Drosophila melanogaster: one gene and its partners. The protein of the gene in region 1 purifies or fractionates together with the protein of each later gene. This does not show direct contact. Each region holds a gene or a part of one and is shown in the gene's direction. Other genes may lie near its edges. The genes, in order: TfIIFbeta, Polr2B, CG8117 and Mef2.

Region 1 (3,323 bases):
GTATAATGTATAATGACATTAGCCGAGTGAACAACAAAGTGAAGGATATTTAATGTAAAATGAAAAATAAGATACAAATGCATAGGCACTGTGGTGAAGGCTCTTCTGACAAGCATTACATTTCAGATGCCGAGTTGGATCCTAACCGTCCATCTAGAAAATTTTCTGCCCCTAGGCCCCTGGAGGATCCCCTCGATGTGGAGGCCAAGGAGAAACAGCGTCTGCGCCAGGAGCGTCTTCTAACCGTTAACGAAGAGGCTCTCGACGAGGTGGACTTGGAAAAGAAGCGTGCCCAGAAAGCCGATGAAGCCAAGCGTAGGGAAGAGAGGTGGGTGCTCACTACCTACACCAGCTCATAGCTCATTTCCTATTAAATTTTTGATGTTTCCGAAGGGCTCTCAAGGAGGAGAGGGATCGCCTGACGGCTGAGGCCGAAAAGCAGGCTGCTGCTAAGGCCAAAAAGGCTGCCGAGGAGGCCGCCAAAATCGCTGCCGAAGAGGCTCTCCTGGCTGAAGCTGCCGCCCAAAAAGCAGCCGAAGAAGCTAAAGCCCTAAAAGCCGCTGAAGATGCTGCCCAGAAAGCTGCCGAAGAAGCGCGTCTAGCGGAGGAGGCTGCCGCCCAAAAGGTCGCCGAGGAAGCTGCCCAAAAAGCTGCTGAGGAAGCTCGCCTAGCAGAGGAGGCAGCCGCCCAAAAGGCCGCCGAGGAAGCTGCCCAAAAGGCTGCCGAAGAAGCCGCTTTAAAGGCAGCCGAAGAGGCTCGTCTGGCTGAAGAAGCTGCCCAAAAGGCCGCCGAAGAAGCCGCACTGAAGGCTGTAGAGGAGGCTCGTGCCGCCGAAGAAGCTGCCCAAAAGGCCGCCGAAGAGGCTCGTGTCGCTGAAGAGGCTCGCCTGGAGGAGGAGCAGCGTGTCCGTGAGCAGGAGCTGGAGCGCCTGGCGGAGATCGAGAAGGAGAGTGAGGGAGAACTTGCTCGCCAGGCCGCCGAGCTGGCCGAGATCGCCCGCCAGGAATCCGAGCTTGCCGCCCAGGAACTGCAGGCCATCCAGAAGAACGAGAACGAGACCAGCGAGCCTGTGGTCGAAGAGCCCGTCACGCCCGTTGAGGAACAGGAACCGATCATCGAGCTCGGCTCTAATGTTACCCCCACTGGTGGTAATAGCTACGAGGAGGATCTCGATGCGGAGGAGGAGGAGGACGAGGAAGAGGAGGAGGAATAGATTCTACACAATCACCATGCTGTCAACCTAATTTAAAAAGAATGAAAAAACAATAAAAATATTAGAAAAACAATTTAATAGGGCAATGGGGTGGATAATGCTGGATAAGGTGTCACATCAATTCATAAATTCATCTTAAATCAATACAATGTTGTGTTCTAAATTTAGTCATAAAATTTGCTGAATAAATCAAAATTAAGATATCATATTCTTTCTAAGACATTTCATTATAAAAGTTATTTCTTATGTTCTAAAGTTCTTGCTAACTATATAAAATTCAGATATGTAAATAGTTCTATTTCGTTATCTGCACTTCGGACTTTTTCAAACTTGGCGCCTAATAATAACATAACGAATAAATACCGAAAGAAAAATACCGTGATATACTAAACTAGCATTTTTTCGAAACTGTTTATTCGACCGCACTAAATTTACGGCAAAACAACAACAACAAGCAAAGCCGAAAACGGTACAAGTGGCTTTGCAAATTCGTTTTTAATAATTTAAAGCAAACAGAATGTCGAAGGAGGATAAGGAAAAGACACAGATCATCGACAAGGACCTGGACCTGTCCAATGCTGGGCGAGGCGTATGGCTGGTGAAGGTGCCCAAGTACATTGCCCAGAAATGGGAGAAGGCGCCGACGAACATGGACGTGGGCAAGCTCCGGATAAACAAGACACCTGGCCAAAAGGCCCAGGTCTCGCTTTCCCTCACGCCCGCCGTTTTGGCTCTAGATCCCGAGGAGAAAATACCCACCGAGCACATCCTGGACGTGTCGCAGGTCACCAAGCAGACGCTCGGCGTATTCTCGCACATGGCACCGTCCGATGGCAAGGAGAACTCGACTACCTCGGCGGCACAGCCGGATAACGAAAAGTTGTATATGGAGGGCAGGATTGTGCAAAAGCTAGAGTGCCGACCCATCGCCGACAACTGCTACATGAAACTAAAGCTGGAGTCCATACGCAAGGCATCGGAACCACAGCGACGTGTGCAGCCTATCGACAAAATCGTGCAGAACTTTAAGCCTGTAAAAGACCACGCACACAACGTGAGAACAATAATACACTCTGTTTTGGTAATATATATGTATATATAACTCCTCCATTCCTGCAGATTGAATATCGGGAGCGAAAGAAGGCCGAGGGCAAGAAGGCGCGCGACGACAAGAATGCCGTGATGGATATGCTCTTCCACGCATTCGAGAAGCATCAATACTATAACATCAAGGATCTGGTCAAGATCACCAACCAGCCGATTAGCTACCTGAAGGAGATTCTCAAGGATGTCTGCGATTACAATATGAAGAACCCGCACAAGAACATGTGGGAGCTCAAGAAAGAATATCGCCACTACAAGACTGAAGAGAAGAAAGAGGAGGAGCACAAGTCAGGCAGCAGCGACTCGGAGTAGCATTGGGAGAATCGCCGACTTACTTTCATTAAAACACATTAAGTAATTGCATGGTTCCGTTTTATTCCTTAAGAACTACACGTTATACTTACGAAAAAAACATTATATCTTAAAATGATTGTAAATAGACACTAGCTTGCACTCTGGTAAATACATACGTATATATACACTTTATCCTTAATTTATCTTGAACTTTGTCTTATGTCCGAAGAGTTCTTATGTTTATACTTTTGTACAGACGAGATCAGGTACTTGAATTTAGTACTATCAGCTCATGAGGATTTCCAAAACACGCGCTTCGTCAATCAAAAAGTCATTTGTCTATTTTTGTTCTAAATCAAAGGAGGTATAGTGTTAAATTTTTAGGAAATCATAGAAATAATAAGAATACGAAATAAATCTATTCGTAGGTAAAGTAAAATAAATCAAAAATGTTCAAAAGAAATAGAAATTAATAAAAATGTGAAAATTTCATAAGCAACTAAAAGCGTCGTAAAAAGTTAAAAAAGTGAAGTGAAAGAAAAACTAAAAAACGGCTTCATGCTTAGGAAAATCGAGCTTAGATAATACTGGTTTACTACTCTAAAGAAATATTGATTCATACATCGATAAGCTTAAGCTAAAGCATTCTTTCTATTGCAAGCTTCCTAATAATACGTAACTAAAACTTACATTTGTACACGATTGCGGGTAA
Region 2 (6,491 bases), 3.4 Mb from region 1:
ACCGAGGCGCCAAGCGCCTCACGCGTCCCACCGCAGAGGACTAAGTCTGAATCCCGATCCCACCGAGTCAATTCTGTTTATCGCCCTTCTACGTACTGTTTCCTAGCAGAGCATTTAATTTATTGTATCCAATCGTTTATTTCTTTTGTGTTGTGTCTATCCCGTGTCTATATGTGTCCGTACGTCAGTCGATATCTTTAGAGGCACTAGGCATCAACTGAAACATCGCATAGCAGCCGCCAAAGTGGGCTTCCTTAAATGTATTCTTGTCTATGTAACTTTAGATGGACATATATGCAATTTATTTAAATTAAAAAAAGTAACTAAGTTCACACTGGCGTCTTCTTTAAGTCCTCAGGACTCACTTGATCGTGTCCAGCGATACATGTTCGGATGTTTTCTCGTCGTGGGCCTTGAAAAGCTCTGGGTTTTCGTCCTCTGTCAGTTTTTTGAACGCCTGTTGAATGTTTTCGTCGCGATCGAGTCGCCATTTGTACTGCCAGTAGCGAACCTCTTCCATCGAGGTCCCTGATGCTTTCATCAGCAGCAGCGACGTCACACCAGCCACGCCGCCCAAGAAACCTCCAATGATTCCACCTGCCGCCATGCCCCGCAGACCAAGACTCACTTTGTAAAGCGAGCCGGTGATGGAACCAGCGGCCAAGTATTCGTAGATTGAGGATTTTCCACGGTACACCGACATACAAGTGATGATGCCGCTGTAAGGAACACATTTTTGTATCACACAGATACAGATTTGAATTCGTGTTGCTGAACTTACAAGTAGGATGTGGTAAAAAGTCCCACTCGCCAGCCCCATTTGAAGCCGCCTTTGGCAAAGTTGACTGTGAATTGATCTTGCAGCTTTTTCTGTAATTATGATTAAAAACTTGATTATAACATATTTAAATGATAATACGTAGATACCTACCTTGGCATCAAAGTGCGATTTAAATGCTGTGGCCTGGTTGTTCTCCATGAAATTCATGTAGGCCACGCGCGATTGTGTAACTCCGCCGTAAATAGCTCCAATAAGGAATCCTAGGAAGCCGGCCTGGTAAACCGAGTTAAGCTCGGAGGATATGCTGCCAAACTCGCTATTTAAATGTTTATGTACGGTCAGTAGATTTTAGTATAAATGGAATTCTTAGTTTTCCTACTCGATTGTAAACATTTGCTTGAGGCGCTCCAGTCCTGTTTCCTCTGGTGGTTTACTGGCCAGAAAGGCCTTGTATGTTTTGTTTTCCTTATCGACTATTTCATCTGCGGCGCCTTCGAATGTTGGCAGGATGCCTGCGATCAGAAACCGGCGTCCTTTCCACAGAAAATTCATTTTTTAAGCGTGTTAAATAACCAAGTAAAACGAGTACAACAATCTCAGCTGTTTGCCGGTCTGTTAGTGTTGGAAAGTGTGCGTGTCATTGGTGTTGGCAAACTCTCGGTTTAATTGTTTTTAATTTAAATGCGTTTGTTATTAATAAAATTATATTATTATAATAATTTAAGTTACATACTCATTTAGTTGTTCATATATTTTTTTCTTATATCATTCACACTTTTAAATTTATTTTGTTGCCAAAAACAATTTTATTGTGTTTACAAGTATTTGCTATAACTTTATGAACTGCACCTTGTGCTTTGCTTTTGCCGTTTACCAACACAGCACAACGCCGCTAATCGCGTTGTCGGCAAACATTTGTTGTGAAATTTTCTACGTTTTTACAATTTAATTCATTGCAAATCCAATTTATTGTTATTTACTTGAACGCATAAAGTGCTTCTGCACTTTAGAAAACTGAAATCATGATGTACGACAACGAGGAAGGTGAGTAAAATGAATTGCGAAAATTTGTGCATGCACGTTGGCGTGTACCAAAATTAATATGGCGGCTGGAGCGCTAGGGCTCCGCATTGTTAGCAATGAATTTCAATGGTCAAATAACATCTTGCAGAACTGTACGAGGAGGAGAATGCCGAGGAGATCTCTCACGAGCTGTGGCAGGAAGCCTGCTGGATCGTGATTAACGCGTACTTCGACGAGAAGGGCTTGGTGCGGCAGCAGCTGGACAGTTTCGATGAGTTCATTCAGATGTCGGTGCAGCGCATTGTGGAGGATTCCCCCGCCATTGAGTTGCAGGCGGAAGCGCAGCACACATCCGGAGAGGTGGAAACCCCGCCCAGATTCTCGCTGAAATTCGAGCAAATCTATCTTTCCAAGCCAACACATTGGGAAAAGGATGGTTCGCCCAGTCCTATGATGCCGAACGAGGCCCGCCTGCGAAATCTAACTTACTCCGCTCCTCTCTACGTGGACATTACGAAAACCAAGAATGTCGAGGGCCTGGATCCCGTGGAAACGCAGCATCAAAAGACTTTCATAGGCAAGATTCCCATCATGTTGAGATCAACGTACTGTTTGCTATCACAGCTTACTGATCGTGATCTTACGGAGCTGAACGAGTGCCCGTTGGATCCCGGTGGCTACTTCATCATCAACGGCTCCGAGAAGGTGCTAATTGCCCAAGAGAAAATGGCCACCAACACAGTGTACGTGTTCAGCATGAAAGATGGCAAGTATGCCTTTAAGACTGAGATTCGGTCGTGTTTGGAGCACAGTTCCAGACCCACGTCTACACTGTGGGTAAACATGATGGCAAGAGGATCGCAAAACATAAAAAAGTCAGCCATTGGTCAGAGGATTATTGCCATCTTACCGTACATCAAACAGGAGATACCCATTATGATTGTGTTTCGAGCATTGGGCTTCGTGGCCGATCGCGATATTCTGGAGCATATCATCTATGACTTCGACGATCCCGAGATGATGGAAATGGTGAAACCTTCTCTGGACGAGGCTTTTGTAGTCCAAGAGCAGAATGTTGCCTTGAATTTCATTGGAGCTAGAGGAGCACGTCCCGGAGTCACAAAAGACAAGCGTATAAAGTACGCTAAGGAAATTTTGCAAAAGGAAATGCTGCCCCACGTTGGAGTATCCGATTTCTGCGAGACCAAGAAGGCATACTTTTTGGGCTACATGGTTCACCGGCTGCTCTTAGCCTCTTTGGGCAGGAGAGAACTCGATGATCGAGATCACTATGGAAACAAGCGACTTGATCTCGCTGGACCCCTCCTGGCCTTCCTCTTCCGTGGTCTGTTCAAAAACCTGATGAAAGAGGTGCGCATGTACACACAGAAGTTCATCGATCGCGGAAAGGACTTCAACCTTGAACTGGCCATCAAGACTAATATTATTACTGATGGTTTAAGGTATTCCTTGGCCACTGGCAATTGGGGCGACCAGAAGAAGGCGCATCAGGCGAGAGCCGGTGTCTCCCAGGTGTTGAATCGCTTGACCTTCGCCTCTACTCTTTCCCATTTGCGGCGTGTGAATTCGCCAATTGGCAGAGACGGTAAACTGGCCAAACCTCGTCAGTTGCACAATACTCTTTGGGGTATGTTGTGTCCCGCTGAAACTCCTGAGGGAGCAGCTGTTGGTCTGGTGAAGAACCTGGCGCTCATGGCTTACATTTCTGTGGGATCACAACCTTCTCCCATTCTGGAGTTCTTGGAGGAGTGGTCTATGGAAAACCTGGAGGAAATTGCTCCTTCTGCCATCGCTGATGCTACAAAGATCTTTGTGAACGGCTGCTGGGTGGGCATACATCGTGATCCTGAGCAGCTCATGGCAACGCTTCGTAAGTTGCGTCGCCAGATGGATATCATCGTGTCAGAGGTGTCTATGATTCGAGACATTCGAGATCGTGAGATCCGAATCTATACAGATGCTGGTCGCATTTGTCGGCCACTTCTCATCGTGGAAAACGGATCGCTGCTGCTTAAAAAGACTCACGTGGAGATGTTAAAGGAGCGAGACTACAACAACTACAGTTGGCAGGTCCTTGTAGCCTCTGGAGTGGTGGAGTACATTGATACCCTTGAGGAGGAAACGGTCATGATCGCTATGTCTCCCTACGATCTGAAGCAGGACAAGGATTATGCTTATTGTACCACATACACACATTGTGAGATCCATCCAGCCATGATCCTGGGCGTGTGCGCGTCCATTATTCCCTTCCCCGATCACAATCAGAGTCCGCGTAACACCTATCAAAGCGCTATGGGTAAGTTTATGAGTATTCATTACTGTTCTACTTGAAATACTAATCCATTTATAACGTTTTTTTCATCTTTTATAGGTAAGCAAGCTATGGGCGTTTATATTACCAACTTCCACGTGCGTATGGACACACTAGCCCACGTACTTTACTATCCGATGAAGCCACTTGTGACCACACGTTCCATGGAGTACCTGCGTTTCCGAGAACTACCAGCTGGCATCAATTCAATCGTGGCTATTCTCTGCTACACTGGCTACAACCAGGAGGATTCTGTCATTCTGAATGCATCCGCTGTGGAGCGTGGATTCTTCCGCTCTGTGTTCTACCGATCATACAAGGATTCGGAGAACAAACGTGTCGGTGATCAGGAAGAGAACTTCGAGAAGCCTCATCGCGGCACCTGCCAAGGAATGAGAAATGCTCACTACGACAAGTTAGACGATGATGGAATTATTGCCCCAGGAATTCGTGTATCTGGCGACGATGTGGTTATTGGCAAGACCATTACCCTTCCTGAAAACGACGACGAACTGGACAGCAACACGAAGCGTTTCTCCAAACGAGATGCCTCCACTTTCCTGCGAAACTCTGAGACGGGTATTGTGGACCAGGTGATGCTTACGCTCAACAGCGAGGGCTACAAGTTCTGCAAGATTCGAGTGCGCTCGGTGCGTATTCCGCAGATCGGCGATAAGTTCGCTTCTCGTCACGGACAAAAGGGAACGTGCGGCATCCAGTACCGTCAGGAGGACATGGCCTTCACATGCGAGGGATTGGCACCCGATATCATTATTAACCCCCACGCTATCCCATCTCGTATGACAATTGGTCACTTGATCGAGTGTCTGCAGGGAAAACTGGGATCCAACAAGGGAGAGATCGGTGATGCTACACCCTTCAACGATGCCGTCAACGTGCAAAAGATCTCCACCTTCCTTCAGGAGTACGGCTATCATCTTCGAGGCAATGAGGTCATGTACAATGGCCACACTGGACGAAAGATTAATGCTCAGGTAAATTGCTTAACTTTCAACTTGCAATAATCTTAAACTAATCAGTCCCTTAACTACAGGTCTTCCTGGGGCCCACCTACTATCAGCGTCTTAAGCACATGGTGGACGACAAGATTCACTCTCGTGCTCGAGGCCCCGTCCAGATCCTGGTGCGTCAGCCTATGGAAGGTCGTGCTCGTGATGGTGGCTTGCGTTTCGGTGAGATGGAGCGTGATTGCCAGATCTCCCACGGCGCCGCTCAGTTCCTGCGAGAACGTTTATTCGAGGTCTCCGATCCGTACCGCGTACACATCTGCAACTTCTGTGGCCTGATTGCCATCGCCAATCTGCGCAACAATACGTTCGAGTGCAAGGGCTGCAAGAACAAGACGCAGATTTCCCAGGTGCGACTCCCATATGCGGCCAAGCTTCTCTTCCAGGAGCTGATGTCAATGAACATTGCGCCGCGCCTGATGGTCACCTAATCAGATCGGTATCCGCAACCGGACCACATAATAGCCCTAAGCTAAATGCTAGCAGTTAATTATTAAATTACCATAATTGTGACAACTCAATTATGTGCTTTGTGTGGCATTTTCTATTATTCCCGGAACTGGAGCGAATACCTGCCGAGCATTTTTAAAGACGCGAACGTGCCACAAGCGTATTTTGGGCGAAAGTCTGCACGGGTTCAAGAGCTGTTAGTGGAATGTGATTTATTTGCTTATTTGTAATAAGTTATTTTGCTCACAAACTTTTCTTGAGAGGGCAAATAGGGCATTGAAAGGTTTTGGTATTATTTGTGATTAAATTTTTGTTGGCAATTTAGTTGTCAATCCCTGTACGTTTTAGGACATCAAATAATCTGCGTTCTGACTCTTTATTTGCTCCAATTTTTCTTTGGTAATCCCCTAACAAAGTCCATTATCCAGCAAAATACCTTCGCCCTAAGCGTATCCTAAATTCGGTTTTTTACATAGAAAGCCTTTCCATTCGCATTTATTTTTTTGCCAAGCTTTTGTTGCCTTCTTTGATTTTGACGTAATGCTTTGGCCCGCGGTCTGTGACGCCCAGTGACAAAAGGGATTAGTTCTTTGTTGTCGGATGTGGATTGTGTGCGGTGGAGAAGGTGGTGGAGCTGTAGCCACAGCCGCCAATCGACTGACAGTTATTAATTGCCACTTGACGTGGCTCCGACGGAACGAGCAGCATCGGCCCAACCGAACTCGTGTCGCTGCCAATGCTGATACCAATGTTGGGGCTGATGGCCAAGACCATGCTGACACCCATCAGTCAGCCCGCCTGAGCCCGGCTTATGAGTAATTGAAATTGCGTGTAAATCCGCGAACGCGAAGTGGCGCCGCGATAAGAGAGTTCAGTT
Region 3 (3,154 bases), on another chromosome or scaffold:
CAAGCGGCATCCAAAAACTGCATCTACAGTCCAACAACAACAACAAACACAACAAAAAACGATGACGGTGAAAAAAAAGTTAAAAAAGGTAAAAAAAAAAAAAGGCAAGTTCGCTGCCATCGGCGGATTGCGCATTTTGAACGCCGGCGCGTACTAATCACTCGCATTGTTACACGATCACGCCATGGCATCACGTAGCCAAGGTGAAAGAATGCCACGCCGGGGGCGTAGCGGGCGGGTGGGCGTGGCAGTGGGCTGGCTTCGACGGGAGACAAATAGGCAGCGAATGTAACTGCACTCCGGCGATGGGAAACGTTCATCCAGCCATCGATTCAACCATCCAGCCAGGCAGCCAGCCAACCAACCAACAATTGGACTTTAGAAAACTTGGAAAATGCAAATTGATCGAGGTAAATTAGTGGAAAATTGCTGCGTACTGGAATTTAACTATTTAAGTGGGACATTTTAAGTTTTATTCACACATAATTGATGATTCTGCAGGAGTTATTAGTAAATCCTCATCGATCTTCATGTAATCATTCAAATGTTTTGTAATATATTATACATAAACCACATTGTCCAAACTTTATTTACTTATATTTGTGTTTTTTAAGATTTTTCTTCAATTTGATTTAAGATTTTGCAAGAATGTTATCCAAAAGCTAATGTATTTTGAACAGTAGTTTGAAACAGGAACATATTTGAGATATTTTCTTAAATTTTCTTTGGTTGCCCCTCATGTTGGCCACACACTTTCTTTTTATTTTCGCCAATCTGGAGAAATTGATTGGCCACAAAGGTTCAAGGTTTTACCCATTGTTCTGGGGCTTGTTTACCAAGCCAAATACGTTGTTGGCCGAAAGGTGAAAGACAAAAGGCCGCCAAGGTCAGTAATCGGCCGTGAACCAATTCCCCAGACCATTGATAGATAGATACATTTGTATCTTTATATTTGGGTAGCTTCGAATCGATGGCGGCTGTTTACGTTACGCTGAGGTCGTCAAGTTTAACAGTTGAAGGTCGGCGGAGGCGTTTAAAAACGCTAGAAAAACGCGCACGCACAGTGGGACGAAAGCGAAGCCAAGTGGGACGTTGGCAAGCGGGGGTGTGGCTGGGTGGTGGGTGTTTTAGATGTTTGTGTGGTTAAGTACATTAGCAGATTTATATCCGGCAACAATAAAAAGAACGATTCGCTAAAAAGCTAATGACTTGGATAATGATTTCGATTTTGTTTTCAATTTCGCTCGCTTGGGCTTTTTTCCTACTTTTTGTGGCTACCCCCCCCCCCCCCCCTTCGTCACTGTTGTTTGGCTTTTCAATATTTCAATTTTCCATTTCCCATTTTCCTTTTTTTTTTTATTACTCATTTTCCTTTTGTTTTTGGTGCTTCTGCGGGATTCGTGCGTCAATAATTAGATCATCTCCGCGCTGTTTGTTGTAGACGATTAGCGAAATCAAAAGCCAGCGGCGCACAAAGAAAGCGGAACGACAAACACAAACATATAGACTAAATGGGAAATATCATTTCCATTTCGATTTTGATTTTCATTTGTGTTTGGTTTTCCTTTCAGTGTCCAATTTTAGCACATTTCTTGGGGGCCACAGCGGGCGTTATGGAATAGTGATGCATTACGCAGGGGATTCCCAAATCGAACATTTATACATATGTAGATTTATCTATTCAAATTCATACTAATTACATGCTAATCACAACGGTTAAGAAATGATTAAGTAGAAATATTGCATAATAAATCCGAAATATTTAGACCTTAATCAAGTTGGGTTGTAAAGTTGCCGAGTAAAAACCTTCATTTACCTTGCCGTTCCTGTCAGCTTAGACATCTCTCAGTGACCTCTCAACTTCTCACAATCTAAAAATTGTGCTTTCCGGTTTCGTTGAATAAATTCACTAAACTTTCTTTCGATTTTGCAGCCATGTCCATGGAAATACGCATCAAGTGCCGCGAGATGTTGGCAACCGCATTGAAATCGGGCAACATGCCACCAGGATGTGGCGATCCGGATGACATGGCCGCTAAACTGGAGGACGCAATTTACGGCGACTTGAACGGCTGCAAGGTGAAGTACAAAAATCGCATACGTTCGCGTTTGGCCAACTTGCGCGATCCGAAGAATCCAGAGCTGCGCCAGAAGTTCCTATTAGGTCAAATAACGCCCGAAGAGTTATCCAAGATGACGCCCGAGGAGATGGCCAGCGATGATATGAAGCAGATGCGCCAGAAGTACGTTCAGGACTCGATCAATGCGGCACAGATGGCCAAGGTTCAGGGCACCAAGACGGATCAGTTCAAATGCGAACGCTGCGACAAACGCAACTGCAGCCAATTGCATATCCGTGATGGTGACGAGCCCATTATCACCTTTGTGATATGCGACGAGTGCGGCAACCGCTGGAAGAGCTAGACAACCGTGGAGAGAGTCCCTTGAAGGAGTCACCCGTCTTGGCTGGATACCAAGCAAACGAACTCACACAATTCACAATATCTCATATCAATAAACAGACTGATCTTCCGTTGGCTTCCACAATATGTAAATAATACTTTAACAAGAATACATACAACATACAACATACAACATACATATTATGGAAATATATTACATGTCATAAAAATCTTATTCATTCGTTTTAAATACCAGAGGGTATCAATGAGTCCATCATCGATGGATGCTCCTTTGTTCGCCTGCGAAAGCAGATAAACTAGCACCGAAAGTCCGAAAGAAAGCAAATCTTTGTTTCATAAACATTCAACAATATACGAGTTTGCTTGTATAAAAAACGAGCATAGCGCGAGCGTTAATTTAATGAATTTTTCGACTATTAGTTAGCACTTTACACTTTAATGAATCATTCGGCGCGATGATCTCGGAGTGGGTGGGATCGGATGGGATTGAATTGGATTGAATTGAATTGGATGAGATGGTATATATAGTATAGTATACTATGTTTAGTATGCGTGGGTCGTTTCCAAGTGCAGACAAATTATAGACGTTAAAGCATTTGCTTTATGGCCCACATTAACGGCATTGAATGGGATTATGGGTTTGGGATTCAGGTTTGGACTGCGAACTGGGATGATAGGTGGACTCTTGATGGGCACAATGGGAATTGCTCCCCAGAGACGGGCCAATTAAT
Region 4 (4,893 bases), on another chromosome or scaffold:
TACTCGGAAAGTCACGTTAAAGTTGCGTCCACTTAACTGCAACTGCAATATGGGCATTCCTTAAGATTTCACCTCCCTTAATGTCCTTTTGTCTGTGTTTTAACTATCACTCCAGTTATTAAATCGCAACTTACAGTAAACAAGAAAATCTTTTAATATATTTTCTTATTGATTTAAATGCCATATGGTAATGGCTAATCACTAAAATTCTCGCTATTGGAAATATTTTTATTATGTATAAATAGACGCAAAATCATTTCCTATATGGGTTAGAACTATAGATGGCTGGAAAGTAGCCACAGCTTTTATTTGCCTCCCAGATGTGGACTAATCACATACAACGTTCCCAATTTTCCTGCTTTTATAAAAGTCGATTTTTGTAATAAACTCTATTGGGATCAAGTTGGGGTACATGTATCCCTACTTTATTATCTTTTCGCCTACATAACCTGCATAATAGAGCGTGTTTAAGGTAAATAATATCTCGCTTAACGCAACAATAGACAGGGTCTGGGTCACAGGGCTTTGGATCCCACTTGGCTGGCTGGCGGTCCGATTCACAAATTAAGCCCCAACTTCAGCCATACAACTACTTTACCTCTGTCTGAATAGGCAATCATCAATCGAGCAGAAACAATGAATCGTTGGTTGCCGCACACCCTAGGATCCTACGGGTCCTACTCTTTGTCCCTTCCGATTCCTTCCTGTTTGTTTTGTGTACCCGCCAGCAGACGAATTACAGGATATGTTGTATGTTGTATCGCACAAAATTAGGTAACAAATGAAAAAAGGATTTACGCTTTATTTTTTCTGAATCAAGTTCAACATTCTAGTTTACGTTCACATCGGAGCTAAGAAGCTAAACAGCTGTCACAATTCCAAAGTTAATATAACCTATTAAAAATGAAATTAATTTTAATGATAGTTATATCATACTTCGCGTTTCTAAAAGGCGTAACCACAGCCAGTAAGTATGCCCCATCTTTTGTAACAGGGTATCGAGTATATACTTACCTTTTTTTCTACTGCCAAACGCAGGTCAACAAAGTTTTTATTAAGCTGCGTCGAAGGGGAAAACTAATGGTGGGTGGGTGTTTATAGAGAGGATCCAGTGGCAAGGACAAATAAATAAAATACACACAAAAAAAAAACCAGATAGTGGGCAAAGCGGGAGGGGAGAGGTCCTGGCAGGGCAGGGAGATACGGATACAAAGGAAAACGGAAACCAAAGCGATGTTTAGCAGGGGTGTAGTTAATGGGGGTGGTGAAGTGGGGGATAATTAACATTTATGGGAGGTTGCCAGAGCGGGACAACAAGCTCGGCGAGGGAACTAACTGTAACTGTTGCTGATTGATCAAGTGTGTGGGTGAGTGTGCGTGTGTGTGTGTCTGGCTGGGGCACAAACAAAAACCATATGTTTCTCGTTCGACTCCCGCACGCACTCACTCACAAACCGAATTACTCACTCACCCCCACCAGCCCCACACTCTAACCCCCCGCCACCTCTCGCTCACTCTTGCTTTCGTTGTGAGTAGGAACTCAAAGTCAGCGGCTGCGCACTCTCTCCGTCTCTCCCGCTCTCCGATTGCCCGGCAATGTATGTGTGCGATATTCTGTTACACAAAAAGGCAAAAACAAAAGGCACCGTTAGAAGGTGTGCGCGTGTGAGTGAGTTCACCACGAAACGAAAATCCTCACCGCCAGCCTACGTATACGTGTTCGTTGCTGGCTGTGCGTGTGTGTGTTAGTGTGCGACTGCGAGAGAGCCTGGCGCAGTGCAGCTGTGTGCGGGCGTATCTGTGTGTGCGTACTTGGCGTTACGACGTCAACGACGGCATATCCGTCAGTACGTTTGTACGCGTCCGCAGCGCCGCTTCTTCAGTTTTTCGGTTTTCGGGATTTCGAGATTTTGAGATTTCGATTCGATTCGATTTCGGCAGATCAGTTTGCGATCCGTTTGCGAGTTCGATATTTTCATTCCGAGCCAACGATCCAACGATCCGATTCCGCTAGCGATTCACAACAGATAGAGATCCTATATCGAACGCCGCGAGAAATTATGCTGGCCCGCTGCTCTCGCACTACGCGCAATAATTTATTTTTACTCCATATAAACAAATTCAACGTCTATTTCCAAAAATAAATGGCAACAATAATAAAAATAACAACAGCCGTCGGACAATTATAAGTTTTTATTTTTAACTTTTATTTGCGCCAACCGCGGCCGCGACATCCCCGCCCCCGCCTGCCCGGACTTTGTTTATATTTACAAAAAGCTAAAGCACACGACAAACACAACAGCAAACATATCACTGACTGCATTTCGCCCCGATGTTTATCGAACGAGCGGCGTAAACAAAGCCAGAATTCAAACAATAATTCAATTTGCATCTCAATTGCAAAGATTTTCGTGTGTGTGCTCGGAAACATTTGTGCAAACACCTCGCCAGCGACCTGACATCCCCAGAAAAGTTCAAAACTCGTCGGTTTCTATTGAGTAGTGTATTTTTGAGAACATTTTTTCGAGAAAACGGAAGCTCAGCTAAAAAGCGATTCATGTAAGTTTATCTACTGCAATGAGGAATGTTTTTGGTTTGAAAACTAGTTTTTAAAACCAAAGTACCTTTGCGAAATGGGTAGAAAGATTTTCATTCTTGTATTAAGAATAATTTTTCCTGTTTGTGATAACCATTTGACTTATATTTATGAGCGTCATAAAATCCAATTGAATGCCTCATTACATTATAAGTGATTTTCGGTTAGTCATACTTTTGAGACACATTGTTAAATTAATTATAAATTATGAATTATAAAACCTAATTTTGGTTATCATATCCACCTTTGCTCATTGAGCTATTATTCCGCCCAAAGGCTTAGTAATTATTTACAGATCATCGATGGGCTGTAAACCCCTCCTTTCATATGCCGATAGGGCAATTTGATTATATATAATTTACAATTACAAAAACACTGGCAGCCGGCATGTCGGGAACCAAATAAGCAAGTTACCCATGCACACTGACGTCATCGCTGAGCCAAACGTTGGGATTCCGAAGAAAAAAAAAAGAGATATCGGCCGGGTTTTCGAATTGTGCCTCGCTGTCTTGATTCCAGTTCAAACAGTTCCCTTTCAATTGATATCATTCGATGTTTCAATTTCTTTTCTTGCGATTTAATGCTGAGAGTAGCTGCCATACACTCGGACGGGCGAACACGCACACACAAATACTATATACGTTCCACTGATAAGCGATTTTCGTATCAATATTGAGGGCCCGCGAGAACCGTACTCCTCCGGCGAAGTTCAAATCCATTTCCCTGCTATCAAGTTCTTTTGCATGTAGTTTTTATGGCCGACCGACCGACCAACCGACTAACTGACTGATTGACTGGCTGGCTGGCTGGCTGGCTGATTGGCGAATTTGCTGATAATTGTCTGCACTTTGTTTCAGCCAGCAGCAAATGCACAGAGAATTATATTTTCTCTTATCTCGCCTCAGGCAGCTGGACATGCGTGCAATGCACTTTGACACCTACGCAGGATCATAAGGGGGGTCGCGTGGGAAGGGAGTAGGGGAATTTCGTTTCGATCCAGGGAGCAGTGGGTTCAAATAACAAACAAAGCCATTCGAAGGCGATAATCACCGCAGATTTGCCGTGGACTTAGCCACGGCGATCGCCGATAAACGATTACGGTCATTCGGCATTGCAGAGCCTAGATAACGGGACCCCACCTCCGATCACGTTCACGTTCGGACCATCATCACGACCATCATTAACCTCCGAGATCTTTAACACTATTTGGTGTAGTCACGTTTGGGTCGCGTTTGTATTTTAAGTGTTCCATCAATAGAGAAATTATAATATTATTTATTTATTTTCTTTTTTGTATTTTAAGTGTTCCATCAATAGAGAAATTATAATATTATTTATTTATTTTCTTTATTATTTCATTATTATTTATCTCATTCTATAACAATTTAGTTATTTCCAATACCTAAAGCTTCATAAGTTAAGCGAAAAAATAAATGTTTTAACTGTTTTTTTTTTTTGGATGCCTTTCAATTAGTTTTGAAATTCAAAAATGACACACGATTCTGAAAAACTGCAAGTAAAATAAAGAATACAATCCATGAAGGAAAACCCACAAACGACATCTTATCAGGTCAAAATAATTTGTTGGCAAATTTTCAACGAAAAATAGTTGAGTTACGTTTGTTGTTGGCGTTTTCGGTGCTTGATAAAAAATTCGAAATCAAAATTTGTTTTATTTGCTCGTGTTTTTTTTTTTTTGCGGCCACTATCTGCCATCGAGAGCGAGAGTCTTTCTTATCACACGTGCGCATGTGAAGGTGCCCACGCTCACTGACAAGCCAAATGAAGCACAATCTGGTCGATGTGTTGGTGTAGTTATTAAAAAAATAAATGTTCCTTTGCCATTTGCCGTGTTTGCGGCTCTCGAGTGTCTGTGATAATTATGGTTATTGCCGCCGCGCTCCCCCACATATATTGTATATAAAAATAAAAATAATAATAATTATTATTATTATAACGATTTCTTTCTGTTTGCGCCTGTGTTTTGGTTTAGCTCCCTCCCCCACACTCCGCCCGCTTTTGCGGCTGTGTAGGTGCTGGCGATAAGATAGAAGTGCTCTAGGTGTACTTCTAGGTGACTCGGGGCCCGAGAACTCAAATTTGTTCGACTACCTTAACATGAGACGCGTGTTTCGGGGCGAAAAACAAAAACCTTGGATTCTTTTGCTTTTGCTGGCATTTCTGCAATCGAAATTGTTGATAAACGCGGTGCAGGAAGAGAGCCAGATATCGCGGAGCCAATGCGATTGCTTGCAAAAATATTGGAAATCGAAGTTTGCCGATATTTCACTTGCTTC

The links.
Region 2: the proteins of TfIIFbeta (region 1) and Polr2B purify together in Drosophila melanogaster (affinity purification with mass spectrometry, with the first as the bait; one large-scale study listed by BioGRID). This does not show direct contact.
Region 3: the proteins of TfIIFbeta (region 1) and CG8117 purify together in Drosophila melanogaster (affinity purification with mass spectrometry, with the first as the bait; one large-scale study listed by BioGRID). This does not show direct contact.
Region 4: the proteins of TfIIFbeta (region 1) and Mef2 purify together in Drosophila melanogaster (affinity purification with mass spectrometry, with the first as the bait; one large-scale study listed by BioGRID). This does not show direct contact.

Annotation. Positions count from the first base shown.
Region 1 is NT_033777.3:10,766,107-10,769,429, reverse strand, and holds TfIIFbeta (transcription factor TFIIFbeta), read left to right. Parts: upstream 1-1,625; 5' UTR 1,626-1,730; coding exon 1,731-2,267; intron 2,268-2,332; coding exon 2,333-2,629; 3' UTR 2,630-2,808; downstream 2,809-3,323. Other genes in the region: CG45076 (uncharacterized protein), read left to right, coding at 127-328, 394-1,213. UniProt on the Drosophila melanogaster protein: TFIIF is a general transcription initiation factor that binds to RNA polymerase II and helps to recruit it to the initiation complex in collaboration with TFIIB.
Region 2 is NT_033777.3:14,124,144-14,130,634, forward strand, and holds Polr2B (RNA polymerase II subunit B), read left to right. Parts: upstream 1-1,647; 5' UTR 1,648-1,803; coding exon 1,804-1,825; intron 1,826-1,952; coding exon 1,953-4,121; intron 4,122-4,196; coding exon 4,197-5,131; intron 5,132-5,190; coding exon 5,191-5,595; 3' UTR 5,596-5,968; downstream 5,969-6,491. Other genes in the region: twf (twinfilin), read left to right, coding at 1-44; 140up (upstream of RpII140), read right to left, coding at 362-719, 782-870, 932-1,097, 1,161-1,333. UniProt on the Drosophila melanogaster protein: DNA-dependent RNA polymerase catalyzes the transcription of DNA into RNA using the four ribonucleoside triphosphates as substrates. Second largest component of RNA polymerase II which synthesizes mRNA precursors and many functional non-coding RNAs.
Region 3 is NC_004354.4:15,642,356-15,645,509, forward strand, and holds CG8117 (uncharacterized protein), read left to right. Parts: upstream 1-1,866; 5' UTR 1,867-1,935; coding exon 1,936-2,424; 3' UTR 2,425-2,636; downstream 2,637-3,154.
Region 4 is NT_033778.4:9,926,566-9,931,458, reverse strand, and holds the start of Mef2 (myocyte enhancer factor 2), read left to right. Parts: upstream 1-1,843; 5' UTR 1,844-2,559; intron 2,560-4,589; 5' UTR 4,590-4,893. UniProt on the Drosophila melanogaster protein: Transcription factor that could be a key player in early mesoderm differentiation and may be required for subsequent cell fate specifications within the somatic and visceral/heart mesodermal layers.